Elephas maximus indicus: one gene and its partners. The protein of the gene in region 3 purifies or fractionates together with the protein of the main gene of each other region. This does not show direct contact. Links are inferred from orthologs where the notes say so. Each region holds a gene or a part of one and is shown on either strand. Other genes may lie near its edges. The genes, in order: GIT2, WIPF2, NCK1 and ABI1.

The links.
Region 1: the proteins of NCK1 (region 3) and GIT2 purify together in Homo sapiens (co-immunoprecipitation; 3 studies listed by BioGRID and IntAct, with this or other methods). This does not show direct contact. The link is inferred for Elephas maximus indicus from reciprocal best matches to the Homo sapiens genes NCK1 and GIT2.
Region 2: the proteins of NCK1 (region 3) and WIPF2 purify together in Homo sapiens (co-immunoprecipitation; 3 studies listed by BioGRID and IntAct, with this or other methods). This does not show direct contact. The link is inferred for Elephas maximus indicus from reciprocal best matches to the Homo sapiens genes NCK1 and WIPF2.
Region 4: the proteins of NCK1 (region 3) and ABI1 purify together in Homo sapiens (co-immunoprecipitation; 4 studies listed by BioGRID and IntAct, with this or other methods). This does not show direct contact. The link is inferred for Elephas maximus indicus from reciprocal best matches to the Homo sapiens genes NCK1 and ABI1.

The regions. Positions count from the first base shown.
Region 1 is NC_064840.1:20,517,492-20,524,635, forward strand, and holds the start of GIT2 (ARF GTPase-activating protein GIT2), read right to left. Parts: upstream 3,020-7,144; 5' UTR 2,874-3,019; coding exon 2,822-2,873; intron 1-2,821. Other genes in the region: ANKRD13A (ankyrin repeat domain-containing protein 13A), read left to right, coding at 6,503-6,598. UniProt on the Homo sapiens protein: GTPase-activating protein for ADP ribosylation factor family members, including ARF1.
Region 2 is NC_064837.1:47,410,891-47,418,464, forward strand, and holds the start of WIPF2 (WAS/WASL-interacting protein family member 2), read left to right. Parts: upstream 1-4,563; 5' UTR 4,564-4,717; intron 4,718-4,939; exon of another isoform or gene 4,940-5,042; intron 5,043-7,574. UniProt on the Homo sapiens protein: Plays an active role in the formation of cell surface protrusions downstream of activated PDGFB receptors. Plays an important role in actin-microspike formation through cooperation with WASL.
Region 3 is NC_064844.1:41,558,347-41,565,476, forward strand, and holds the start of NCK1 (cytoplasmic protein NCK1), read right to left. Parts: upstream 3,002-7,130; 5' UTR 2,880-3,001; exon of another isoform or gene 2,561-2,879; intron 1-2,560. UniProt on the Homo sapiens protein: Adapter protein which associates with tyrosine-phosphorylated growth factor receptors, such as KDR and PDGFRB, or their cellular substrates. Maintains low levels of EIF2S1 phosphorylation by promoting its dephosphorylation by PP1.
Region 4 is NC_064822.1:28,454,794-28,462,047, forward strand, and holds the start of ABI1 (abl interactor 1), read left to right. Parts: upstream 1-4,237; 5' UTR 4,238-4,379; coding exon 4,380-4,496; intron 4,497-7,254. UniProt on the Homo sapiens protein: May act in negative regulation of cell growth and transformation by interacting with nonreceptor tyrosine kinases ABL1 and/or ABL2. May play a role in regulation of EGF-induced Erk pathway activation. Involved in cytoskeletal reorganization and EGFR signaling.

The DNA of each region.
Region 1 (7,144 bases), on a different chromosome or scaffold from region 3:
CATATAGTAAGTACTCAGTAATGTTAACTGTTACGTCTTTTATAAATAATTTTCTAAGCACCATTCAGATATTTCAACAGCCCGCTGAAATTTGTGATCCTGAAAAAAAATTTTTTGATTGGAAAAACTTAAAACATCAAATGTTTCAAGTAAATACTATATTATCATAGTGAAAATTTCAGCGGATTTTTCAGGTAATCGAACTCAGTGTGATTTAGTTAAAATAAACTGCGCTCATTAAACAAGCAAACTAAGAAGAAATAATCATGGTTAAATATTTGCCATGAAACAAAATAATTCAATGAAGTATAACTGTCTCAGTACTACTATACCATTCTAAAAAGCAAACACTGTAAACATCAAGATAAAGGATCCCTAAAATGCTACACAGCGACGGGTTTTTTTCTGCACGAAGGGAAAAAAAAGACTGCCTTGAAGCATTTTTTTTTTTTTTTTTTGAAGCATAGCTTTGATTTTCACCTAGCATCCAGAGAATTCACAGTATTCTTTCAGGGGAAATGGAACAGGACTAAGACAGCAAGGATTTAACAATTAGGCAAGGTTCTCAATTAACCATTTTAACATCACATATCAGAATTCCATGGATAGAGTAACTAGAATGTTACAGCCGAGTAAAATCAAACCGAGTTTGTACAAATAAGGTTGGGTAAAACCCTTCCTGTTTATGTGGATGTTTTGTGTCGGGGTTTCTTAACCTGGGCTCCACGGACACCACAAATGAGCTTCAGGAGTGTCTGTGGTCCCACTGAGAAAATGCGCATGAAATTGTGTGTGAAAGTACATACATGTGCATTTTTTGGGGAGAGGGCCTTAGCATTCATCAGATTCACAAAGGAGTCTCTAACCCTAAAGGTAACCCTTTCACTAGGGTTTTGCAGAAAAGGCAGAACAAATTCCTAGCTGCACAAGTTCACGGAACATTTCAAGGTAGCCTAATTATACTCAAAACAGGAAGGAAGTGACTCAAGTCTCTGTAGATAGGTACATAAGACAACTAAAATGATATGATGAAAGAGAAAATGTTCTGAAATGCATAAAATGATGCAGAAATGCAAGGTAGTATTTAGGGTGACAACGAAGAAGTAACTTTCCTTTGCCCTAAGCCATCCACTGAGAAGTAAAGAATACTCATTCTAAGAGGAAGTTTGAAGCTAGACACATGTGAATCAAACATGACGCAGAAAGTTCAACTGAAAACAGGCAAGAAAAAGAAGGAAGTGGAAACATTTTTAGAGACTAGGATTAATTTCGTATAACCACCCTGGCTGGTTTATAAAACACCTCTTTTTTAAACTCCTCCACCCCTTTCCCTATTTTCAAAGGAAACTGGCAACCCTGACGGCTCTATAAACCAAAAATCAAACCCAGTGCAGTCAAGTAGATTCCCACTCATAGCAACCCTATAGGACAGAGTAGAACTGCCCCACAGAGTTTCCAAGGAGCGCCTGGGGGATTCGAACTGCTGACCCTTTGGTTAGCAGCCGTAGCACTCAACCACTACGCCACCAGGGCTCTATACAGACTATGAGAAAAACCACTTCAGGTTTGAGATATCATGTTGTTCTTGTTAGTTGCCGTCCAGTTGACTGCAAGTTATCACAGGACTCAGCCTCAACCTCCAAATGACAAGATGAAGTTCAGAACAGTTGCCACAACACTGGCATTCAATGATTTCATTAAGGTTGTTTACTGGACGATATTGTGCCAAGGAAGCCATCTTACTTTTGAGTTACTTCAAACTCAAAGCAGATAAACCGAAGCACTGAAAACAAAACACAATCTAGCCACAGAGACCTGTCAGCTCAGCTCCAAATGCTAAGATGGAGCTGAACTCTGTACCTGAAACTTGCACATGGCAGAAATGATTTATGCCCATATTGCTGAATGCTCAAATGTGAATACTGCCCGTGATTTTGCGCCTGTTAGTTTTTGGTAAGTTGTAATTCATGCATGATTTAGAAATGCAAATCTAACTTTAAAGGACGTCAAGAGTTATCTGTACTAAACACAATACAAAAAAGAAGGAAAAAAAAAAAAAACTTGAGATGATGAGAAGGCTCATTAAATCTAATCACCGAGCCAAATACTCCCGACTATATCCATTGGAAAAATGAGGAAATCAAGGCTTGGTCACATGAAGTCACAAACCCAAGGTCACCCAGACCTAGTCTGAACCCAGGCGATTCAGATCTAAAAACTTGAGACATGCTCTGCCTTCTAAGTGCTGGTTGTTTCTGCAAGACCGCGACGTCCTGCAGGTTCTTCCCCGTGGAGTGGGAGACGAGATGCCAGAAGCCTGGAAGCAATCTGCCCTCCGGAGGGTCTCGGTGAGGGAAACCGCGAGTGTCGCCCATCTCGGGCAAGGCCCTCTGCGGGGCGGGGGTCCGGATGGCTGGTGTGTGTGGGGGTGACACCTGCAGCCTCTGGGGGCCGCAGCCCGGAGGATGCTCGCATTCTACTTCTGTAATTGGTCTTCCTGTAGATTGCCCAAGCCCCTTCCTGTTGGGGGAGCAGCCCTGGACCTCGCCGCCTCCCCGGCCGGCTGGGACGGAGGAGAAGGGGGAGAAGGAAAGACCGGAGGGCGGCGGCCCCCTCCCCGCCCGGCTCTGACAGGCCCGGGACGGGCCCCGCCCCAAGGCTGCCGCCTCGGGCTCTCCCTCGCCGCGACCCCAGCCGCGGGGCGCGGGGCGCGGGGCGCGCAGCTCGGCCGTCGGGACTCGCCCGACCTCAGTGGGCTGCCTCGGGGCAGGGGTCCGGGCCAGGAGAGCCGAAGAGAGCGGGCCCCAGCGGTGAGACTCACCCGGCCCGCTGCAGTCAGCGCACACCTCGCTGCTCCGGAGCCGCTTCGACATGGCTCTCGCCTCCCACCCGCGGGGAACTAGGGGCCCCCGGACAGCGAAGGCGGCGGCGGTGCTTCCGCTCTAACGGGTCCCCGCGGCAGCGCTGGCGGCAGCGCCTCTCCCCTCAGCGCCTCGGAGCCCGGCGCAACACGCACGCGCGGGGAGGTGGCCTTCGCCGACGGACAGGTCACGTGACCGGAAAGGGCACACTGTTTTGTCGCCATCTTGAATGAGGGCAGGTGTCTGTTTCCCCAGCCTCTGCCCTGCTTTTAAATCTTGAATTTGGGTGCTTCTATTTGAGTCGCGGGAACCCTGGTGGTGTAGTGGTTGGGAGCTACGGCTGCTACCCAAAAGGCTGGCAGTTCAACTCCACCAGGCGTTCCGTGGAATCTCTATGGGGCAGTCCTACTCTGCTCTATAGGGTCGCTATGAGTGGAAATCGACTCTATGGCAACGGGTTTGTTTTTTTTTTTTCCCCCGCCTCTGGGTTGCGGAAAGAGCCTTGGGGGCGCAGTGGCTAAAGCGATAAAACTGCTAACCGAAAGGTCGGGTGTTGGAAACCACCAGCGGCTTCGCGAGAAAAATGTGGCAGTCTGCAGTCCGCTTCCCTAGAAGATTTATAGCTTTAGAAACCGTATGGGGTCAATGTGAGTCTAAATCGACTCCACGGCCGTGGGTATTTTAGTGGTCTCTGAGATGCTACAGGGTCGCTATGAGTCTGGATCCACACGAGGGCAATGAATGAGTTGTTTTTTTTTTTTCCTACACGAGATACTCCTCCTCCCAGTACTGATTAATTCCAGGGGAAGCTGTAAAACCTAGTGACCATAGAGAGCTCTGCAGCCACAACTTTCCTGAGGCAATCAGTGGTCAAGTCACTTAGTGCAACTTTGGCCAAGTTAGTTCATTCATTCATTCAACAAATACTGAGTGTCTGCTGTGTGCCGTGCACTATCCAATGGAGCTTCCCAGGAGCTCTGGTGGGCAGTGGTTAAAGCGCCAAGCTGCTGACCAAAAAGGTCCGCGGTCGGAAACCATCAGCTGCTCACCGGGAGACAGGACAGCCTGCTTCCTTAAAGATTTACAGCCTTGGAAACCCTATGGGGCAGCTCTACTCTGATTTACTGTTATTATTGGTATCACTATTATTTTCAAATCACGACTTTTCTTCCTATACTTGAAATTTGAGAGTAAGAATATATAACCCAGAGTAATTTAAAGGCTAACCAAAAACGAAACCCGCTGCCCTCAAGCCTATTTCGACGCATAGCGACGCTGTAGACAGAGTAGAACTGCCCCATAGGGTTTCCAAGGGGCACTTGGTGGATTCAGACTGCTGGCCTTTATGATTAAGCAGCCGTAGCTCTCAACCACTACGCCACCAGGATTTCCAATTTATAGAACAGTGTGAGATAAACACAGTGAGGTTAATCAGTGTGAAGAACAAATGTGATCCTAATGCCGAAGGCCACCTCCCCACTAATGAATATTTATTGTATGTGTTACATGTAAACAGAATTATAATCTCCATTTAGCAAATATTGGATGCCAATTATGGGTTAGGGGGAAACCCTGGTGGCGTAGTGGTTAAGTGCTACGGCTGCTAACCAAAGGGTCGCCAGTTCGAATCTGCCAGGTGCTCCTTGGAAACTCTATGGGGCAGTTCTACCCTGTCCTAAAGGGTCGCTATGAGTCGGAATCGACTCGATGGCACTGGGTTTGGTTTTGGTTATTATGGGTCAGGAAACCCTGGTGGCATAGTGGTTGAGAGTTACCACTGCTAACCAAAAGGTCAGTAGTTCGAATCTACCAGGTGCTCTTTGGAAACCCTATGTATGGGGCAGTTCTACTCCATCCTATAGGGTCACTATGAGTTGAAATCAACTGGATGGCAACGGGTTTGGTTTTGGTATTATGGGTCAGGAACTGTTTTGGCTTTAGGTACTCCCGTAAACGAGACAGATGTGAAGTTTTCAGACTAATGTGACAGGAGGGATGTTCAGGAAGCATGGGGCAATAGAGAGAAAGATTAAGTTGCACAAGGGTTCTGAAAGAATGAAGAGGCCTTAGAAGCACTGGTCCTTGGTCCATCTCTCCGGCTTGATAAATGTGTGGTGTGGGAATAGCCACGTAGTTCCCACGCACGCAGCACTTACAGTCTATGAGTACTAACCTGATGCTCCTGCGTGCTGTTTTGGTTCCCCAACTCACAAATCTGGGCTCAACACGTGTGGAGAATGGATTAGGCTAGGATTCTTGAACAGCTGTTGTTGCAGGCATCTGAGAAGCTGGCTGTACACAAGCAGAGAAGGCCCAGGAGATGCTTTCAGGATGAATTGAATAACTTTGCCCAGCTATGTGGTCGAGTTGTAGACAGCTGAGCAGAAGTGGCAGCAGGAAGCGCACAATGGTGGCTATAAACTGACTTGATTCTTCATTGAGGCAAAGAGGTACAGTATCTGAAGTTGAAACTCAAAGGATGAACTTCATATTTGCAGACTGTGGTCAAGTCTGGGTATTATATATCAGTCTTTTCAGTCATAATCCAAAATCCAAATGGCTAGCTTCAAAAATAAATGACACATGTGGGATAAACCATTATCATAGGTAGCTTTGAATCATAACCCAGTTCAGAGTTCAGATAGAACAGTGGCTCTCAACTGGAGACCATTTTTGTCCCCCAGGGGACATCTGACTTTATCTGGAGACATTTTTTGGAGGGTCGATATGAGTCGGAATTGACTGGACGACAGTGGGTTTGGTTTTTTTTTTTTTTTTGACTGGCATTCAGTGCGTAGAGGCCAAGGATGCTGTTCAACCTCCTACAAAGCACCCGACAGCCCCCACAACAAGTTATCCGGTCCAAAATGTGCGGAGGTTGAGAAAACTCTGTGATATAACTATCTCCTTATTATGCAAATATTTAACGCCACTCCTCCAGGGTTTATAATTCCTCCTCTAAAATTGTTTGCTTTTGCCCACTTCCAAAATGGATTCTGACCAATCATGGAAGCATCTGCCCTGGTCCAAAAAGGCTGCAAGGAAGTCGGTAGCCGGAATGGTTTAGCCCAGGCCTGTTGTCGCCCCCTGACCGCAGGGCCAATGGAAGAGGCCCGGTTGTGGACCGAACCATCTGCGATACATAAGGCAGGGGGAAAGAGGTTGGTGATGGGTAGACCAAGTTTTCCACGTCAATACTCTGAAACGAAAGAGGTACTCTTAACACTGTTTTAGATATCACACTATGATCCTGGTGTGGAATTGGAGATTGGTGAAGTTGGGCGAACTCCGGATCGACCGCTTTGCCTCGCCCTTCCCCGCCCCCGCGTGCGGTGGTTCGCTCCCCGCACTTCCCTGTTTGGGACAGTTCGGTCCGCAGAAGTCGGTTCGGGAGCTGTCAGCGCGGGCGGGAGCGTCGCGGGGCGCGGGGTGGGCTCGGCCGACCCGGTCCCCGACCCGGCCCGCGACCCCCGACCTCCCGCGCACCACGCAGTCGGCCCGCTAGGCCACCCGGCCGTGTCCCTCGCCTGCTCGCTCGGCTTGTCCTCTCGCTCGACGGCCGCTGGCGGGCGCCGGAGACCCCGCCGGGGCTGAGGCTTCTGGCGAGCGGGTGGCGAGGGCCCGGCTGCGGCCTCCTCGCCATGTCCTCGGCCCGCGACGCCAGCGGCCACTTCCCCCTGCATCTCCTGGTCTGGAAGAACGACTACCGGCAGCTGGAGAAGGAGCTGCGGGACCAGGTGAGGGGCGGGGCGGGGCGGGGCGGGGCGGGAGTCCGCCCCTGGTTAGGGGGAGTCGAGGCTCGCTAACCTCCCTGAGCCCATTTCCAAGCCCCTGCCCTCGGGGTCCCTTGGACCCCTTCAACTCTGCAATCGTGGGACGGCAATAATAGTAACAACAGGACGTGTATTGAGTGCTTACTGGTGCCAAGCTCTGTGTCAAGGGCTTTATATACATTATTTCTTCTAACCTTTCCAACATCCCTAGGAGGTGGGTATTATTATTCCATTTGACAGAGAAGGAAACTGAGGCTCTCAGAGGTTATGGGCCTTGTGCAAGGTCGCCCAACTAATAAATTTGCCAAGTCGAGATTTTAACTCAGGCTGGCTGGCCCCAGAGAGCGCCGTCTTTACCATTAGGCGCTACTGCCCCTCTCCAAGACTTACACTTTAGACTCTACTGTCCTCTCTGAAAGACAACACACACACCCCTCACCTCACCTCATGCACCCTTGTTGCCTTGCTGTAAGGAAGGTCTTTGTTAAGGTTTGGAGTTCGGGTTCTAAC
Region 2 (7,574 bases), on a different chromosome or scaffold from region 3:
TGCCCGATGTGCTCTTCAGCAATTTTTCCCTCTTCAGCATTATACTTGTGAGATCCAGCCAGGTCAATACGTACAACTCTAGTTTGTTTGGTTTTGCTTTTCTGTATTTCCCTTCATTCTTCAACCCAGTGCAATCTTGCTTCTGCCTTCATGGCTTCCTGAAACTGTTCTTGTCAAGGTCGCCAATGACTCCCATGTTACCAAATCTAAGGGACACTTATCTTACTGTTGTTCTCGCTAGCGTTTGATATTTCTGACCATTTTTCCTTCCTCACTCATCACTGCTTTCAGGACACTATGACCCCGGGGTTTCCCTCTGCCCTCTCCTTCTCAGTCTCCCTTGCTAGCCTCCTCCCTCAGCCTGGTCCTTGCATGTGGCATTCATTGGGCTTGACCCTAAACCTTCTTCACGTTTCTTTATAAATCTTGCCTTTGATTTTATCCTTATACTTCTGTTTTGGAACCTATTGCTGTATAAGTAACTTTAAACTCAGTAACTTAAAACAACAACCATTTCATAATTTCTCAAGATTCTCCGAGTTGACTGGGACTGAGCTGGACAGTTTTGCTGATCTCACTTGGGGTCTCTTATGTGGCCGCAGGTAAGAGGAGGGGAAGTTGAAGTGTTCAGGATGGCTCCCTCATATGTCTGGTGGTCTGGTGGGAACAGCAGAAACGCTGGGACAGGTGGCTCTCTCTCTCTCCATGTAGTCTCAAAGCCTCTCCCTCCAGGTGGTCTCTGCAGCAGAGTAGCCAATTTCTTACATGGGAGCCTACCCGAACCCACTGCCGTCACATCAATTCTGGCTCATAGCAACCCTACAGGACAGAGTAGGACTGCCCCTTGGGGTTTCCAAGGCTGTCATCTTTACGGAAGCAGACTGCCACATTTTTCCTTCCAAGAGTGGCTGGTGGATTTGAACTGCTGACCTTTGTTTAGCAGTTGAATGCTTAACCACTGCGCCACCAGGGCTCCTCATGGGAGCCTGTTGTTGTTGTTGTTAGGTGCCGTCAAGTCGGTTCTGACTCATAGCGACCCCATGCACAACAGAACGAAACACTGCCCAGTCCTGAGCCATCCTTACAATCGTTGTTATGCTTGAGCTCATTGTTGCAGCCACTGTGTCAATCCATGGGAGCCTAGGGGTCCCAAAAACACAAATGGAAGGTTCCAGGTTTTCTTAAGGCCTAGGTCTGGACCTGGTACAGCATCATTTCTGTTTCTTTCCATAGGTTAAATGGAGTCACAGGCCAGCCAAATTAATGAAGACCAGGAGCCCTGGTTTGTTAGGGGCCATCTTTGGAGACTACCATAGGTTGTGATTTCCAAATCTCTAGACTCAAACATACCATGGAATACTGGACCTCACTTCTTGGATGTCCCACCAGGCTCCTCAGGCTCCTTAACCAGTCCAGCCCCTCCTTTTCTTCTTTGACACTCTCCAGCTAAGCGTTAGCCTCATCTCCACACTAGAGTTTAAGATAGAAACTTAGGGATAATCTTTGGCTTCTCCTTCTTTTCAGTCCCCACGTTCCACCCCTTAAATATGTCTAGAATTACTTCTCTCCATCCCCACTGCTGACACCCTAATAATGATCACAGCTAATATTAGTGAGTACTTTCCATGTGTGTAAACACTTGTGATGCGTTCCATTTAATCTTATCTAAATTTTGCAGATGGGGATCTTGAGGCCAGTGGAAGTTGAATAACTTGCTCAAGGTCTCACCGTTTTCAGCAGCACAGAGAACTGAGACTCCAGGTAGCCCTGCCTCTGAAGCCTTTGTGTTCCGCCAGTGACCAGCTGCCACTCAGTTCAGGCACCTGTCATCTCTCACCTGGACTGCTACACCAGCTTTCCAACTGGTTTCATCTTTCCAACCTTGTCTCATCTAAACTGTCTCCCAGGCTGCAATCAGAGAGATCTTTCTAGAATGCAAAGTGAGTTGTAGCATTTCTCTGCTTAAGCCTTTCAACAATTTCTTCTCACAGACAAGATAAACTCTAAGCTTTTCAATAGACAATAAAGTCCTTTACAATTTGCCATTGTCAACTTGATAGTGTGGCAAGGGACAGTGGTTCTCCACAGTGGCACTTTGGAAATTTGTGGAGCTCTTTTTGTTTATTACAATGGTTAGGATGTGCTACTTGCATTTGGTGGGCAAGGGTCAAAGATGCTAGAGAACGCAATGCAAGGGATGGTTCCATGCAACCAAGAATTATCCTGGGTTCCACAAGACTTTTGAATGTCCTGCTCAATATTCTATGTGAAAAAGTCTATTTATAATTACCTTAGCCTAGACTCTATCTCCATTAACCCTACACCCAAGGGAGGAGGGGGCTGTTGAAGAGATTCTATGGTGTTTCCTTTTTCCATGAGACACTGACAAAAGCTCAGGTTCACCTAGTTAGGCAAGTGCCCTCAGAGCAAAAGCCTGCTTCAGTGTTCCACTTACTCTCTGCCTTCAATTACTTTGTTTTGCCTTGAAAATTGCTTACCTTTTTAGCAGCTTGTCAATGTATTTAAGATTTTTTAAATGTCTTATCCAGGATTCTTAGTTGTTTTTAGGGGGAAGCTCTTCCAAGTATCTGGCTTGTCATATAACCAAAAAAGGAAACTACAAACACAAAATATTTTGTGCATGTAATTTGCATATAACCTGTCTTTTCCAGGAATGTGACCACTTTGTAAATTGTTTTGTATTGTTTAGAACTTTACCAAGAGTTGTTCAGCATTTTGGAAAATCACAACACCAATGCCAACAATGCCCACCACAACACTGTTGGATCGATCTGCATTTGTACCTGTTGCAGTCTTCATAATTCTAAGCATGACTGCAAGCATCTGACTATCTCCCTATATCTTCTATGGTGGGCAGGGAATGCCCTCTGAGGAAGGGACATTTGAGTGAGGCCTCAAAAAATGAGGATGGGGCAAAGAATAGCCAGTATATAGGTCCTGAGGTAGGAACCGCTTGGTACATTGCAGTGTTAGAAAGCAGGTGTGCATAGTGTGTAGTGAGTGAGGAGGGTACAGGGAGGAGAGGAGGCTGAAGAGCTAGGAGGCTCTGGTAAGGAGTTTAGATCTACCATCCCTCTGGCCTAATCACAACACCTTTAGGAATGTAAGACTAAAAAACTACATACCTGAAAATCTTTACCTTTGCCCCCACTGATTCCTATGCCTGCAATGTGCTCCCTGTCTTCTCTGATTAGTAATAAAATTCTACTCATCCTTTAAGGTCAAGTTCAAAACCATTTATGAAATCTTATCCCATTCTTTAGCAAGAATTAATCACTCCATTGTCTGATGCCCCACAGCATGTATGTCCCCATGGCACTAATCACATGCTGACTTATATCTCTGCTAGCTGTTTACATGTCAGTCTGCCTACCACACAGTGAGTTCCTGGAGGCAGAGGCTCTGTCTTAGTCACCCCAGTAGGCATCTCTTGGTGCCTAGGACAGTGTCTGACCCACAGCAGATACTCAATGAATGCAATGAAGGTTGTGACATTTACTTGACTAAGTGGGTAGTTCTGTTGTGCACAGGCTCGCTATGAGTCAGAACTGACTCAACGGCACCTAACAACAACAACAACAACAACTAGTGGGTAGTGGCAGAACACAAGGAAAACAAAAATAATAACTGACGGTTTATCACTTGTGCTTCCCTATTCATTATCTGATTGGAGGCTTCCAACAATACTATGAGGGAGACGGGGTAGGCACTATTACCTCCGTGTTACAGTTAGGGTAGCTAAAGCCCAAGGCCACACAGCTAGCAAGCAGTGGGACCTAAATCCCAATCTTGTCCTCTTACTTCGGATTTGGTGCTAGGAAGGATGATGGAGAGACCCAAAGGAGAGCATTTTGAGGATATAAGACAATGAGGTTGGTTGCACTGGGTGGTCTAGGGGGAGATTCTCAGTCAACAGCATCCCTGCCAGGGAGGGCGTAGCACTTCTCCCCTGACCCATGCAACATCACCCCCCATTCCTGAACGCCGCGGAACCCTTGGGTTAGGTGGTTAAGATGACGTAAACGATGACCTGTTAGCAGGACCTGCCCCTGTTGCCATGACAACCGGAGTTTAACTATTGGGCCCTTACAAGGTTGGCTGAGACAGGTTCTTCGTTACCTCGGGATTAGGGAGGAGGTGTGGAGGAGTGCGGTGGAATAAAGACGTATAAAATGTATAATCATGAAAGACTCCAGCTCAGTGGTTCTCCACCTTTGCAACACGTTACAATTACCTGCAGAATTTTAAATGTTCCAATGCCTAACCCACAGCCCAGAACAACAAATCAGAATCTCCGGGGGTGGAACTAGGCATCAGTGTTTGGTTAGTTTTCCAGGTGATGGTGATTCCAATTGCAGCTAAAGCTGGAAATCCTCCTTTCAGTTAGCAAACGGAATTTCTGTGACCTTCTCAAGATGGGGGCCGATCAGACCGCTTCCGCCTTTACGTGAGCCGACAGGGGCGGGCCTTCCAGAAGCGCATGCGTGTAGCCTCTCTTCGCTCCCTGCTCCCCTCCTCCTTTTTTCCCCCGCCTCCATTTTGTTCGCAGACGCTGGGGACAGTGGGAGCAGATCCATTTCCGGGTTGGAAAAGGGGCGGCGGCGGCTAGAAAGGGAGCTTGCCGGGGGGCGAGCGGGACGGGACCAAGCCGGAGCGGAGGTGGCGGAGGATTCGCTCTCGGAGCAACTGCGGCCAGGTTAGGAAGAGGCCGGGGCGGCTGGGTCCGTCGCTGCGGTGACCTGCGGACCTAAGGGCTAGGAAGAGCTGGGGAGTGGGGATTGGGGCGGGGCTTGAGGAGAGAGGGGCGCGTTGGAGGAGGGGCCTGAAGGGGATAGGGGCCTGGGGGCGGGGCCTGAGGGAAGGGGCCTGGGGCTGGGTCTGAAGAACCCGGAGGAGAGGGGGCGTGTGGAATCTAAGTAGGGAGGAGTGGTCCGGAATTGGTGTGGGGCGAGCGCAGACTGAAAATGAAGAGGAAGGCTGCTGAGAGACAGGAAATAAGGGATCCTGAAGGGTTGGGTAAGGCGAGTAAGACGGGAACTCAGGGTGCGGAACGAGGTAACCGTGCGCTAAAAGGGAGACGGGGAGGGAGGACCTGTTGGGAACAGGTAATTAGCAGGATGCTCTGGGTGAGGAGGCCAGTTGTGACTTTTCGGGGGTTGAGCCGGGTGAAAACCTGTGGTTGGGAGGATGACTCGGGAAACTGCTTACGCTAGAGGGACTCTTAAGAGCGTTCGTTGAGAAAGAATCAGAATTGAGTTAAAGGTTGGATGGAGAGCTGTTGAGATGCGCACGGGAGCATCTAAAATTAAGGGTTCATGTTGGAGTGAGGGGAAGTGACAAGTGAAGTGAGGGAAGATGGAAAATCTGAAAGTGTTGAATGTGGGCAGTGTGTGTGGTTGGGCTGCTGATCAGGAAGAAACATTCTTAAAGAATAACATTGGGGTAAGGACCCGGAAGAAGCTGATATGTGCAGGAATTCATAATTTTAAGGGGATTTGAATGATCTTACTGCTTTGGCCTCCCCCAGGGCCCATCCCCCTCTTTTCTTGCTGTAATTTTTGTCTTACAGTTTTGGTTTCTGAACGACTTACTGAATGTTTTTGGAGACTTTTTTTTTTTTTTTTTTTAACTCCTTTACAAATCAGAAGAGGATCCCAGGGAATAAGGACTGTCCTAGCCTACCTCCTGATTTACTGAGTAACTCTTTGGCAAATCATTAAGTGCCTCGTTTTTTCTCCCCCTTTGAAATATAGGTCTCTTCCCTCCCTGCCTCTAAAAGATTCTGTTAACCAAGTGAGAATCTTTAAAGTGGTTGCAAAAAAAAGTGATTTCCAAACACAAAGTTGAGATACTGATATTTAGGAGACATATCCTCAGTTTCTTCCTCAGCATACGCTGCATTTTTATGTGCCTGGGAAGAGTTGGTTTTTAAATTCTCCTTTCTTAATGTTAACTTTTATCAGTCAAAATTTTATATTATTGTGTTGCATTGTGTTGGCTGCCATCAAAATGGAGATAGGGAGTTTAGAGTTGGCATGAATGAGGTCGGTTGGTGGGGACTGTGGGAGAATGCAGTGTTTTATTTTCTAGTTGCCACAGTATTTTACTCCTGACGAACACTGAATTTCTTCATGAGTCTATGAGAGATCAAGGATAAATAGTATTTTAGACAGTTGAGCTTTTTGCTTTGGTCCAATCACTTTGGCATAGCTGCCTGTTGGTGGGACCAGTGGGGTTGTTACTCCTTTGAAATCCTGACTGTTCTAGTTTTATTTCTTTGGGTATAAAGCTCTAAAAACTTTGCCTATAGGTGAACTTGTTTAGCTTAGAAGATGTGTTCCTGGAAGTGTTGGCATTTCTGAAGTTTGATGTGGATTTGCTTAAGAGGGGGCAGATTCTAGTTTTGCCTCCCTTGATACAGAGTAGTGTTTATTCTAGTTGCTACTGATTAGTTATGTGATGTCAGGGCAAAGGTGAAATGCAGGGGAGGGTGGAAGGTATTGTGAACAATAGGGTTCTCAGATTTTATTAATGGCGTTGAAGAATGGAAGAGAGAAGTCCTTGTTCCTAATGAGGAGAAAATTGTCACTTGTTCTTTCTTGACTCTTTGGGCTGTCTGATGATGAGAGTGACCTGGTGTACTTGAGTCTGTTTTCCTGTTGATCTAAAGTAATTCTGAAATTCATGGACTGCTGGTTCAGGCTGCTTCAGCAAACCATAGTCTTTATACCAACCCCAGGATGAGCTGTAGACAATAAGTATACATATTTATTTGGAGTAAAAATCTGCTAGATATTATACTGTCATTTCACCCTACAGTGTATCTTTTCAATTTGTAATTAAGAGGGCTTTGAGATAAGTTATGGAGGCTCAGAGCTCTGGGCAAGCTTTTGGTATAGCCTGCTTGTTTAACATAATGTTTTTCTATTTTTCCTACCGTCTCACGTTTTTCCATTGAACCACTTCTAAGTGGAAAATAGCAAATTACACATTTTTTCCCCACTTTTTTAGTCTCTGGTGGACATCTTGTCTGTGTCACAGTTTGACACCACCAAATGAAAGAATCCTTGACTGCTCCAAATGGAGAGCGTGACAGAAGCTGAGCTGAGTTTCCTGGGCCAGGGAATGGACTCTTGTCAAAGCAAAGAATAGTTGCGGAGACACACAACTGGGCCCTTGAAGCTGTGACTAACATTTTGGCAACATGCATCCCTTTGCCAAATAACTTCTTTTCTTCTTGAGTGTGACTGTTAATCTTCTTGAAGTAGGCTGTTGTTGCTACTATGCTTCACACAACTCCCGAGCAGAAGTTGGCAGGGTTGCAGTTAACTGTCTCTTGAGGGATGTTCCCCTGATTAGAGTAGGTGGGGCGTTCTGTGTCAAAATGAGGTGTTCTGCAAGGAAATAGAGGCAGTACTCTTTACTGAATGTTCTTGCAATTCTTTATAGTTCTTCTAAATTCAGAGTTTGTTTCTTAATCATCTGGTAATCAGTGTCTTTGACTGCACAGTTTGAATGTCCAGGGCATTGAGGAAGAGAGACTTAGTATTTGC
Region 3 (7,130 bases):
GAATACTATGCAACCATAAAGAATAATGAGTCCGTGAAACACAATGTGGATGCATCTGGAGGACATTATGCTAAATGAAATAAGACAGTCACAAAAAAAGACAAATATTATATGGTCTCGCTATTATAAAAAGTCAAGAACAGATAAACACACAAAAAGCAAAGCTCTTTAATGGTTAACAGGGATGGGAGGGAGAGGGAAAGGGAATCACTTTCTAGACAATAGACACTTGCTACTTTTGGTGAGAGGAAAGACAATCCCAAACATGGGTGAAGTCTACCCAACTTGACCAAGGTAAATAAATAAGAAGTACATGAGCAAAAGGGACAATTTTAGTAAACGTTATATACAATTTTGCAACAACAGTGAACAAAGCAAAAAAATACACGTGTGGTTACGTAGGTAGCTGTTTTAGTCATCTAGTGTGTTGTAACAGAAATAACACAAGTGGATGGCTTTAACAAAGAGTTTATTTTCTCACTGTAAAGTAGGCTAAAAGTCCAAATTCAGAGTGTCAGCTCCAGGACATTTTCTCTCTCTGTCGGCCTTCTCATCAATCTTCCCCTGAGAAGGTGCTTCTCAGCGCAGGGACCCCAGGTCTAAAAGATGTGCTCTTCTCCCGGCACTGCTTTCTTGGTGGTATAAGGTCCCCCTGTCTCTCTGCTCCCTTCTTTCTTTTATATCTCAAGAGATTGCCTCAAGATACAATCCAATCTTCAGATTGAGTCCTGCCTCACTAACACAACTGCTGCCCATCCTTCCTCATTAACATCACAGAGGCAGGATTTACATCATACGGGAAAATCACACAACACCAGGAATCAAGGCCTAGCCAAACTGATACACACATTTTTGGGGGGACATAATTCAATCCATGACAGCAGCTATAGATGCATTATGTGTTTAGGAAAGCATACTCAAGTAAATGTACGTGCAGGTACAGGTGTATCTGTAGGCATAGGTATATACACGTTTGTGTGTGCTGCATATATAAAAAATATATAGCCACATATATATCCACATATGAAACAAACCAGGAGCCCTGGTGGCACAGTGGTTAAGAGCTCAGGCTGCTAACCAAAAGGATGACAGTTCAAATCTATCAGCCACTCCTTGGAAACCCTATTGGGCTGTTCTACTCTGTCCTATAGGGTCACTTTGAGTCGGCATCAACTGACGGCAATGGAGTTCTTTTGGTTTTTCTAAAAACAAACCACATGGGGGCACGGTTACAAAGGCGTCAAAGGGCTTAGGGCCATACTCTTGGGGGACAATTTAGTCAACTGGCGTAACATAGTTCACAGAGATGACGTTAGTATCTGGGATCTTAAAAGCTTTTTAGTAGCCATCGAAGACACAACTATGGGTCTCTAAAACCCTTTGAACTTGGAACTGAAGCTTTTTCTGCAGGTCACCTTTCAGCCAAATAACAGGTTGGCTTATAAAATAAACAGTATGACACATGAGTAATGTGCTCCCTTAAACAATTAACTATATGAGACCAAACGGTCAACTTTTAACCAAAAGCAAAGATGAGTAGGCAAGTAGAGGAAGGGAAGCTAGATCAAAGGAAACAGAACAAACAATGGAATACTTAGGATGCTGACACATTGTAAAAACTATAACCAATGGCAGGGAACAATTTGTATAAAAATTGTTAAAGGGGAACCTAATTTGTTCCGCAAAATTTCACCTAAAACACAGTATTTAAAAAAAAAGAAGGAATTGAACTATTTATTGCGCTACTATCAATTTGTGAAACACTCCTAGTTTAAAACTGCATACTATTTACAATTACAAGACGGAAAAAAAATTCTTCTTGGATTATTTCCCCATTTATTTCACCTCACTGAAGGTTGTGATTTTAAGCACAGTGCTTTTCAGATGTCTGATAAATCGTTAACGATGGGTTTTTCATAATCTATCAACATAACGTTTAAAAGAGAGTATCTCTTGCAACACGCGTTTAGACCAGACAGTAAGCGTCTTTTGTGCCCCACCCCCAACCTCCGCAATCATGGGGTTAGAAAATTCTCAAGCTCAATTATTTCCTTCCTAACTCCTATGGCTTCTCACCTAAAATAACGGGTAGAATGAATTAAGGTGACTTCAGTACGTCAGCTCGACTTTGGGCGCCTATGTTATGGTTCTCAGCTCCCAAACAAAACCCCGCTTCCAGAGCTTCTAACGCCGAATTCAACTTTTATGGAAACAAATAAAAGGCTACACAACCAAGCTATCAAGATAATTTTTTTAGCGGATATATTACAACTGAAGTCAAAAGCTTAAAGCCCAAGCAATCGCATACGAAACCTAAAACAGGTTCATGCGATTTTTTTTTTATCCACGTTTCCCGAGAAAGACGACGACCGGGGGGGTGGGGGAGGGGGTTGCAGAGGGCGCGTCCAGAAGATGTCCACCCTCAGCCCTGGGCACGGCTCCCTGTCCTTCCCTTCTCCGCCGTGTCCCTGTCTTCCCCGCGTCGGTTACGCACACAACGGGCAACAAGATTTTTTCAGAAGAAAAATAAGACACGGAAGGGAGCGCGCCGCACACCGACCTCAAAGCCTCGCAGGCGCTCACCCCGGCGCGACGCCCCGGAGGCGGGCAGCGAGGCCGCGGGGCCGCGGGGCCCGACGGTGGCGCGGAGTCGGGTGCAAACGCCCCGGCCGGGCCTAGCTGCCTCCCCGCCCCCTCCGGCTCTGCCCGCTCCGGGCCGGCAGACGGCGCCCCCGGAGGTAACTTCACTGGGGAAGAGGAAGCGACGCAGTGAGTAACCAGCTACGTGGACCGACAGGGGAAATGAAACTGTGTACGTGTCCACCTGCCGGCAAGGCTGCCTCACCTTTCCTCTGCCGGCCCGGGCGGCTCCGGCTCACCTGACGATCGCAGCTGGACGACACGGCGGCCGCCGCGATGGCCGTTACGGCACGAGGCCTGCGCTCCTCCGCGGGTCGGTCTCGGAGAGGGGCGGGGCGGGGCGCGCGGCCGGCGGGCGGGCGGCCGGCGGGCGGGCGAGGCGGGGCGCTGACTGGCCCCGAGGCGATGGGCGTTGTGCGCGGGCGAAAGAAGGCCCTCTCGGCCCAATCTGATAGGCTCAGTCCCCTTCCCTCCCTCCCCTGCCTCGGTAGCAATCGGTGCGGCGCTGGGATTGGGCAGACTCCCCTATCAATCAGGCGCTGTCCCGGCAGCGGAGTGAGCTGAGGCTGAGAGGCGGGGAAGAGCAGACGTTACGAATCCTATTTTCAAACTCTTTTTCTGCACGCCGAACTTCTCGAATGACGACTTTAAGTCTCCCTCCTCAGCGCCGCAGGTACGACCCCACAGCAAATATGACGGCTTCCCGAGTTTAGACCAAAGCGACAAAAAAACAAAAAGGCCAGGAAACGAGGACCTGGGAGAAAAATGTAAGCCACATGCTTACGTTTGAGCCATAGACCGGGTCTTGGGGCCTTCCAAGTGCCCTGGTGCGCAGGCTGCTTCCAGTCTCGGCTGCAGTAGCCGTGCTATGAAGGCAGTGACCTGAGTGAGCTGCCATTCTTAGCGGCCCTGCCCCAGCCATCTGCTGGGTGGTTAATAAATTAGCTCTTCCCCACGCCGGCACTGCAAAACTCCATAGCCTGCCTTCCCTTCCTAACTGTCTATGTGGCTTAGTTTACTTTCCCTCCTTGGGGAAACCTGCAGGGCTAGGTACCTTTCTCCGAACACAGGTACTTTCCCCATCAGAACTGTTGAAATAGTTTGCCCGTATCCTTACCTAAGCTGTAAGCTCCATTAGGTCAGGAACCATGTCAGTGTTTGTTCCGATTTCACCCAGTGCCTAGCATGTGATAGATGGGCAATACATAATTAAAGCATTAATACATCTTCTCCCTCCTCCTTTAATCCTGGCCTTGACTATAAATCCTGAGTCCACAGTAATTATCAGTATTTAACCGTTCAACTTCAAAATGATTCCTGTGAGCGCTGATGGATGCATGTGGTTTGCCTGCCATATGTAGGATCACAGGATCAAGCACAAATCACCTATGACCCCTTCCTGGCTTCAAGTTGGCTGAGGCAAGAAGACCATGTAACTCAGCAACAGCTACACTATGTCTACATCCCATTATTAGCATCCAAAATGAAGAAAGCAAGTAAATTTTGGATTCATTCTAAGGGTCTAAATAACTTTGCGTATTTTATCCTGGCTTTCTTTTTGTTTTTTAGTTTATTTACTGTGCTTTAGATGAAAGTTTACAAATCAAGTCAGTCTCTCATACAAAAAGTTACACACACCTCACCAGTATCATTGTCTGTCTTATAGTCCAGTCCAACCCCTGTCTGTAGAGTTGGCTTTGGGAATGGTTCCAACCTTGGGCTAACAAAGGGTCCGGGGACCCTGACAGGGTCCCTCTAGTCTCAGTCAGGCCATTAAGCCTGGTCTTTTTATGAGAATTTGAGATCTGCATCCCACTGTTCGCTTGCTCCATCAGGGATTCTCTGTTGTGTGCCCTGCCAGGGCAGTCATCGGTGGTAGCCGGGCACCATCTAGTTCTTCCATTCTCAGGTTGATGGAGTCTCTGGTTTATGTGGCCCTTTCTGTCTCTTGGTCTCATCTTTACCACATGTTTTTGGTGTTCTTCATTCTCCTTTGCTCCAAGTAGGTTGAGACCAATTGATGTATCTTAGATGGCCGCTTGCTAGCATTTAAGACTCCAGATGCCTCTCACCAAAGTGGGATGCAGAAAGTTTTCTTCACACATTTTGTTATATCATGGCTTTCTTATTGGTTGATACATCTTACAAAGTCTGTAGGTTGAGATATTATATTCATTTTTGCAGCTGGAGATATGATTTGTCCAGAGCTTAACATGATTTATCCATAACCACACAGTGAACTGTTGGCAGACCAGACTCAACTCAATTCTTGTTACATATTTAACACGTGATGCAGAAAGAGGTGTGAATAAAAATAAAAAATAAAAAAATACTAAGGTAAAATATAGTCCTTGCCTTCAAGTGGCTTATACTACCTGAAGTGGGGAAGATAATTCTAGAAAATTATGCTGAAGTCATAAAATTGGATTTTATTTTGTAAGGCAATCTGTATTTTGAATGGGCCAGTAATGTCTTCACAAGATTTTGATCCAGATCTCTCGACTTCTACTGCTCTTTACCACCTATTCAAGCAATATAAGAAGCAATTGCAAGGAAGAGAGACCTTAAAACTGCTTTTTCACAAAAGGGTTTCAGTTCCCTGTGAACATGTTTTTTTTCTTTTAATGTTCCTTCTTTAATCTCCCTCATTACTCATTCTTCCCAGGAACTCTCAAAAAAAAAAAAAAACTCAAGATACATATGGAAAAGAGGAATCAAAAAGGAAAAATAAGGAAACATCAATAAAAGAAGAAAGCATAGGATGGAAGGGTAGATAGAAAAATTATGTGTGAAATTCCAGTATGGCATACTTAAAAGGAATGGAGTCCAAATTCTCATAGGGTGGGAATTGCCCCAGAGACTTTCTTTCACACATTCTGTCTCTTCAATTTCTAAACATAAATATGTACATGGGGGCTTCTTCCTCTTTTACAGTGGAACTCAAAACCAAAAGTAAAAATCATCCTTGCTGATCAGTACTGAGTGGACCAGGGACTAGCCAGAATCAGGCAACAACAAAATTTAGGTCAAGACAAATGACCTACACACTGGAGGTGAAGTTTGGGATTTGGGTAGCTAACCTGTTTCTGGGAATAAAAACATGCAGGCAACTCACTTCATTAATTCCCAAAAGGATTTGGGAAGACAAGAAATGGAAAAATGAGCCTCTACGTCTCAAGGCCTTCCCCAGGAAAGTATTTATAATTTATACTTAGAAGTGACTATAGAGAATAATCTGGTTTAATATCACTGTCAGGCAGGAATGTTTAGAACAAAAAAGCCCTAACTCTAATCAAGAGGTAACTAATTAATCATAGGGTCAACTATAAAGTATCCAAATTAGTCAGTGGACCCTGGTAACTAAACCTAATTTCTGGATTGAGTATTATTAGACTTTTATGGGAATTCATTCAACAAAGATTTATCGAGGGTCCACTTTGGTAAGCACTACAATAGGTTTTAGAGATCTAAAGATCTGTCCCTATCTTCAAGGAGCTCAATCCAATTTTGGAAAATGAGATTCAAACTGGTATTTATCATTAATATAATAAAGACAATAGATATAGACAGGGATGTTAAACCAGAGGGAGACGGAAGTTGTGTGGTTAGGCTAGTCCATCAATTAATCTAGGGAAAAAAGAGAAGGGCTTTCCAGGTAGAGAGGCCTGCATGGGGGGAAAAAAAAAAGCCACTAAACAGTAGTAGATTATTGCTGGAGCAGAGTGACTAGGCATGCAAGCAATAGCCAGGTCCTGGAAAACCATGGGTGACAAATTAAAGACTTTATCCTGTAGGCAACGAGAAACAAAAGGTTTTCTTTCAGCATATAAAGCAAGTACTTTGTCATTCTGTTGTTTTCTGGCTTCCATTATTTCCGATGTGAAGTAGCTGTAATTTTTATCATTGTTTCTCAATATCTCAAATCTTTTTCTCTGGCTGCTCTGAGGATTTTTTTCTTTATCTCTGTTTATCAGAAGTTAAACTATGATATTTCTAGGTATGGTTTTCTTTGTACCTATCCTGCTTGGGGCTCACTGAGTTCCCTGGATCTGTGGTTGCTTTTTTTTTTTTTTTTTTAATCAAATTTGAAAAGTACTGGCCAGTAGTTCTTCAAAAAATTTTTCCGCCTCATTCTCTCTCTTTCTTTTTCTAGGACTACAGTTACACTTATGCTGGACCTCTTAATATTTAGTACAGGTTTATTCAGGCTCTGTTTTTGTTTTTTAACTTTTTTTTTCTTTCTCTGATACAATTTGGATAATTTCTATTGAAAGCCAGTGTCCTGTAATCCCTGAAAAAAAAAATTTTTTTATTGTGCTTTCAGTAAGAGTTTACAAATCAAGTCAGTCTTTCATACAAAAATTTATATACGCCTTGCTACGTATGCATTGTAAAATAACATACTCCTAGTTGCTCTCTCTGTAATGAGACAGCATGCTCCTTCTCTCTGCCCTGCATCCCTGAAAAATTTTGAATGTTGACATTGTCCC
Region 4 (7,254 bases), on a different chromosome or scaffold from region 3:
ATATTCAATATTCTTTGCCAACATTATAATTCAAAGGCATCAGTTCATCTTCCGTCTTCCTTATTCATTGTCCAGTTTTTGCATGCATATAAGGTCATTGAAAATACTATGGCTAGGCTTAGTTACACCTTAGTTGTCTTAGTTATCTAGTGTTGGTATAACTGAAATACCACAAGTGGATGGCTTTAGCAAAGAGTAATTTATTCTCTCACAGTCTAGTAGGTTACAAGTCCAAATTCAGGGTGTCAGCTCCAGGGGAAGGTTTGTCTCTTTTTTGGCTCTGGAGGAAGGTCCTTGTCCTCAATCATCCCATGGTTGAGGAGCTTCTCAGGCACAGGGATCCCGGGTCCAAAGGACATGATCTGCTCCTGGTGCTGCTTTCTTGGTAGTATAAAGTCCCCAGCTCTCTGATGCTTCCCTTTCCTTTTATCTCTTGAGAGATAAAAGGTGGTGCAGGCCACACCCCAGGGGAACTCTCTTTACCTTGGATCAGGGAGGTGACTGAGTAAAGGTGGTGTTACAATCCCACCCTAATCCTCTCAACCTAAGGTTATAATCACAAACCGGAGGACAACCACACAATACTGGGAATCATGGCCTAACCAAGTTGATACACACATTTTTTGGGGGACATAATTCAATCCATGACATTCGTTCTCGAAGTGACATTTTTGCTTTTTAACACTTTAAAGAAGTCTTTTGCAGCAGATTTGCCCAATGCAATACATCATTTGATTTCTTGACTGCTGCTTACTATTTCTATTTTCAGTGCCCTTAGCTAAATCTCTAAGCTTAAGTTTCCTTACCTGGTAAAGAAATAAAATAATATTTACCTTGTTTATCTCTCAGAGTTGTTGTGAGCATTAAACAAGTCTGATAGTACTTTGAGTAATAGTAATTCAGTATCATCTCCTTAATCATTCCCCCAATGTTGTTGAAATGTATAAATATATGGATATATGCAGGCTCACGTAGAGACCAAGATCAAGAATATAACACATTTCCACTACTTGAATTAAATCCTGTTGAATGTAATTGGATTAATGATAAAACTTGAAGCAAGACCGTTGTGCCTATTCCAGACAATTAGTAAAAGTAACCCATTCATTGATTGATGGACCTTAGAATCCTTGACAGGGACTATGGTGTTTTTCTCAGTTTAATATAATGGTAGTGGCTAGGGGCAGTTATTTCTTTTATGTAGCAGACTTAAGTTCCTCCTTGGGAAGGTTGAATATGTTATGGCCCCTAGTATAAGTAATAAGGAGCCCTGGCTGTGCAATGGTTAAGCACTCAGCAGCTAACTGAAAGGTTCATGATTTGAACCTGCCCAACGTCTCCGTGGGAGAAAGACCTGGCGATTTGCACCCCTAAAGATTACAGCCAAGAAAACTCTGTGGGGCAGTTCTCTGTCACACAGGGTCACCATGAGTTGGAATCGATTCAATGGCACCCAACATCAACAAGTAGAGGTAATATTCAATAAATACTTTTGACGGATTGATCTTTTTATTTGATTGTGTGGTGTTACCATTTCTATCCTTGTGATTCTAAATGGCTACGTGGAGAGCTATGAAAATGGATTTTCAAACAATCTTTAAGTTAACTTCCTTTTTGGCCTTTGGACAACACTTTTCATAACCCATTATACCAGAAGCATTTCATATTTTCAGTGAAACTAAAAGGTTAAAATATAGGGCTTTTTGAAACTCTTCCAAAGCAGCTGATAATCAGGAAAAAAAAAAAATGATTTTACACAACCTACAGAAACAAAAACAGTAGGGTGAGACATGCAAAGGAGTCAGAGAAAAGAAATTAGGACGGGACAGCATTAAAAACCATGCATGTTTTGTTTTTGAGGTTCTATAATTTTGACATTCGGTTGGATCACCTTTCTTGGGAATAGGCATAAATATGGATCTCTTCCAGTCAGTTGGCCAGGAAGCTGCCTTCCATATTTCTTGGCACAGATGAGTGAGCACCTCCAGAGCTAGAACCGTTTGTTGAAACATCTCAGTTGATATTCCCTCAATTCCTGGAGCCTTGTTTTTCGCCGATGCCTTCAGAGCAGCTTGGACTTCTTCCTTCAGTATCATTGGTTCCTGATCATATGCCACCTCTTGAAGTAGTTGAACATCAACTAATTCTTTTTGGTATAATGACTCTGTGTATTCCTTCCATCTTCTTTTGATCCTTCCTGCATTGTTTAATATTTTCCCCATAGAATCCTTCAGTATTGCAACTCGAGGCTTGAATTTTTCCTTCAGTTCTTTCAGCTTGAGAAACGCCGAGTGTGTTCTCTCCTTTTGGTTTTCCATCTCCAGCTCTTTGCACATGTCATCATAATACTTTACTTTGTCTTCTCAAGACTTGCTTTGAAATCTTCTGTTCAGTTCTTTTACTTCATCGATTCTTCCTTTTGCTTTAGCTGGTCGACGTTCGAGAGCAAGTTTCAGAATCTCCTCTGACATCCATCTTGGTCTTTTCTTTCTTTCCTGTCTTTTCAGTGACCTCTTGCTTTCTTCATGTATGTCCTTGATGTCATTCCACAACTTGTCTGGTCTTCAGTCACTAGTGTTCAGTTCATCAAATCTATTCTTGAGATGGTCTCTAAATTCAGGTGGGATGTACATAATGTCATATTTTGGCTCTCGTGGACTTGCTCTGATTTTCTTCAGTTTCAGCTTGAACTTGCATATGAGCAGTTGATAATCTGTTCCACAGTTGGCCCCTGGCCTTGTTCTGACTGATGATATTGAGCTTTTCCATCATCTCTTTCCACAGATGTAGTCAATTTGATTCCTGTGTACTCCATCTGGTGAGGTCCATGTGTATAGTCGCTGTTTATGTTGGTGAAAGAAGGTATATGCAATGAAGAATTTGTTGGTCTTGCAAAATTCTATTATTCAATCTCCGGCATTGTTTCTGTCACTAAGGCCATATTTTCCAACTACTGATCCTTCTTCTTTGTTTCCAACTTTCGTATTCCAATCGCCAGTAATAATCAATGCATCTTGATTGCATGTTCAATCAATTTCAGACTGTAGCAGCTGATAAAAATCTTTTGTTTCTTCATCTTTGACCCTAGTGGTTGGTGCGTAAATTTGAATAATAGTCGCATTAACTGGTCTTCCTTGTAGGCGTATGGATATTATCCTATCACTGACAGCGCTGTGCTTCAGGATCTTGAAACGTTTCTTTTGACAATGAATGCAACACCATTCCTCGTCAAGCTGTCATTCCCAGCATAGTAGAGTATATGATTGTCCGATTCAAAATGGCCAATACCAGTCCATTTCAACTCACTAATGCCTAGGATATTGATGTTTAGCCATTCCATTTCTGTTTTAAAGATTTCCAATTTTCCACGTCTGTCCGCTTGTCCTACTGTGGGGACTTGAGTGTTCCTGTGATGCTGGAAGCTATGCCACCGGTATTCAGGTACCAGCAGGGTCACCCATGGAGGACAGGTTTCAGCTGAGCTTCCACACTAAGACTAGGAAGAAAGACCCGGCAGTCTACTTCTGAAAAGCATTAGCCAGTGAAAACCTTAGGAATAGCAGCTTTTTACTAATGATAAGACGTACAAAAAAAAAAAAAGGTGGTGATAAGTGCTGTTCATTGTAACTCAAATACATCTTAAGTCGAGGATTACCTATAAATATTTGGAGTTTTCCATATTCTATCCATTTTTAAGGAGCCCTGGTGGTGCAGTATCTAAGCGTTAAGGCTGCAGGCGAAAAGATCATAGTGTGAATCCACCAACAGCTCCTTGGAAACCCTATAGGGCAGTTCTACTCTGTCCTATAGGGTCGCTATGAGATGGAATCTACTTGATGGTAACGGGTTAGGTTTTGGTTTTATCCCTTTTTAATACTAACCGGAATCCATGGCTCTTATTTATCCACATTCGGTTGCTAAAGCTCTGTAGCTCCACAGCCTTGGGGGAGGTGGGACGGTTTTCTTCTCCAGCATCACCCTATTGCGCCATCTACCGGAGCTGTCAGGAAATTCCAGACCTAAAATCACCGCCTCTGGTCAAGATTCCCTAGTTACACTCCTCCCCGACGCCTGCGCTTCAGATGAGAAGTCTAGCCTATCAGAGACTACAATTCCCAGAAGACCGTGCAAAAAAAAAAAAAAATCCCTCTCTCTAGGAGTTAGGAACGATCGCGAGAGAACGAGGTTAAGGCGGCTGCGCGAAGTGGGTAGAAGGGGGTGGAGAGAGCGAGGAGGAAGAGGAGGAGGTACCGTCCCACAATACCAGGCGGGAGGGCGGTAGGCGGTTTGTATCCGGGCTGTGAGGTGCTCGGAGCCTCCGCGGACCTCGCTGCCGCTGTCTCTTTAACGCGAGAGGAAGCGATGCGGAGGGGTGGAAAATGGCAGAGCTGCAGATGTTACTAGAGGAGGAGATCCCGTCTGGCAAGAGGGCGCTGATAGAGAGTTACCAGAACCTGACCCGGGTGGCGGACTACTGTGAGAACAACTACATACAGGTGAGGAGCGCGGGCGGGCGGGCAGACGCTGCCCGGGCCGAGGACGCGCCGCCGGCCGCCGGAGTGACCAGCCCCCTGGGCGGGGTGGGGAACTGCCTAACCTCAGCCTCTGCCTCAGCTCCAACCCCAACCCCAAGCCCAGCCGCCAGAGAGCAAGTGGCAGGGTTGAGTGAGTCGGGCTGTGATACAGGAAGTGGCTCTGGTGGTTGAAACCGATAGAAGGGGAGAGAGAAAATGGGCGAGGGACCCGGGAGCCCGCCGCCACCGCAGCCGGGCGGCCCCCTGACGCCCGCCTCCCCGCAGGCTCGACCCCACGAGTCTCGCTGCCCTTCGGCAGCCCTCCCTTCTCCGTGCTTCTGTCCCGGGGACCCAGCTGCTGCCCCGCTGCCTCTCCGCCGGGGAGGGGGGGTCTGGAACCGGGAGAAGGGAGAGGAAAGGGCAGGGAAGAGGCTAAGGGAGAAGCAGCAGAAGGGACAGGAAAAGCGGGGTGTGCTTCGGGGAGGGTGGGGTGGGGGCAGTTATGTCAGTTCAACCCAGAGGGTGTGTCGTTTACTTATTTATTTTTTAAAAAAATTTGTCATGAGTCACATTACACAGACCTCCCTAAGGAGAGGAGAAGCGGGTGTGGAGTAAGGGAGGGCCTTTGAGAGAACTTAATCTTAAAATTCCTTTAATTGACGGTTTGTAAATCTGCCTGCCTGTCCGTTTTCAAGTCGGGTTTTTCGGTCTCATCATTTTCACTTCCGCTCCACTGCAATGTAGTCTAGAGGTTGTTAAGGAGTATCGTTATTATAAAACGTAAATTATTCTTAACTACTTGGAAAAATATCTTACTCTCTCTTCCGCCTAAAGTTCTTGAACCCTTGGCTTCACAAGTAACTTAGAATGGTGTAACCGCCGTTTTCTGAAGTTTCCCTGTTTCCAACCTATGTGCACGTGTAGAATATGAATCCAAATAGATTACCGAACCTTTGAACCAGAACGTAAAATAGCTGTTATTGCAAATTTATTGGAAAATTCTTGGGCCCTTATCTGTGATATAAGCTTGTTTTTATTTTAATGCTTGAAAGTGAATTATATGTGTAGTAGTTTGCTTTGCGGTTCATTAACTGTGTAAACCAACAGTTTGCTGTAGAAGCAAATGAAGTAGCAGACTTTTGTATCAGTATAATGACACCCAAAAATTGCTTGTTATTGGTAAGGCATGACAGAACGTGCTTTGAAAGGTTAGAGGTATTGCAATTCAGAACTGAAGTATTTTTAGAAATGCCTTCGATGTGATTATCATTTTTAAGAACCAATGACTTCTGTATTGGCAAATGCATTTCCTCTTACTTTATAGGCAGAGGTGCTGTTTTCAAAATATTTTAATTATTTCTAAGTTTTTTTATTAGTAACATTGTCTCTTCAGTAGCATTACTAGGACTTTATCTTCACAAATTTTTTCAAGCATTTACTTAGGAATTTTACTGATAAGTAAAGTTGTTGAATGCCTGCCACATCTACTGTATTACTACTTGTTTTTTCAAACTGTATTTAGCGTTTAAAAAAATCACTTTAAACTCTAGTAGAAATGTGGATATAGTTTACAAATAGAAAAGTGGTTTTGTAGTTAGTCAGTATTAAAAATATGCAATTTTTATTCAACCCAGCATGAAAAGCTTTAAAATTGAGGCGAACCTTATTTGCTGAAGATCTTGAAGATTTTGAAACTCAGACAGCTTAGAAAGTTAAATTGCCCCCATCCCAGAAAAGCCATTTCTTAACAGAAGTCAGTAGATAAGTACTTCATAAAGGGGAGATTCCTTTTTGTTTTGCATGTTGGGAAATCTGACAAGTATATGGTGTGGTAACTGCTACACGTTGGCAACAGTTGGTAACTGCAAACATGTTTTAACCTGTCTGTTGGCTATTTCTTTTTCAGATGGTTGTATGCTGTAAAGGTGTTTCTTAATTTTCTTTTTTCTCTCTGACCCCTTTTCCTTCTCCCTCATACCACCGTCGTGTAATTTTGAAGTACTTTTAAACTTCATTGGTAATTTCCCTAATTAAGATGTCATGTTATTTCTCATAGTCTTTCACTTTCTAAAATATTAGTACCATGGTATCGAGTCATCGCCAGTGGCCTCAAGGTTTTTTTTTTTTGGTGGTCCTAAACTTGACTTCAGGTCCCTGGGGGGTGCATACAGATTGCATTTGACCACTAACCAAAAGGTTGGCAGTTCAAACCCATCCAGTAGTGCTGTGGAAGAAAGGCCTGGTGACCTTGCATTTACACTCAAGAAAACCCTGTGAAACTCAGTTGTAACATATGGGGGTTGCCATGAGTCGGAATCAACTAGATGAGAGTGGGTTTGTTTTTTAAACTTGCCTCCAGTGAGGTATTCTGATCTCGTCCTTACCTGCTGTTGACTCAGCCTCCCACTCATGGTGACCCCACGCACAACAGAATGAATGCGGTTCAGGCCTGTGTCATCCCCATGATTGGTTATGGGTGGGACCGTTGCGATTCATAGGGTTTCCATTGACTGATTTTTAGAAGTATGTCACCTGACCTTTCTTCTTGGTGGTCCCTGTCGGTCTGGAGGCTCTGATGAAACCTGTCCAGCATCATACCAGCGTGCAGTCCACCACTGACAGATGGATGATAGCTGGGCATGAGGTGCTGTGGCCAGAATCAGACCCAGGTCTCGCTCATGGAATGGGGGAATTCTACCACTGAACTGGGGGTGACGGGTGGGGGAGATGAAATTCTCAC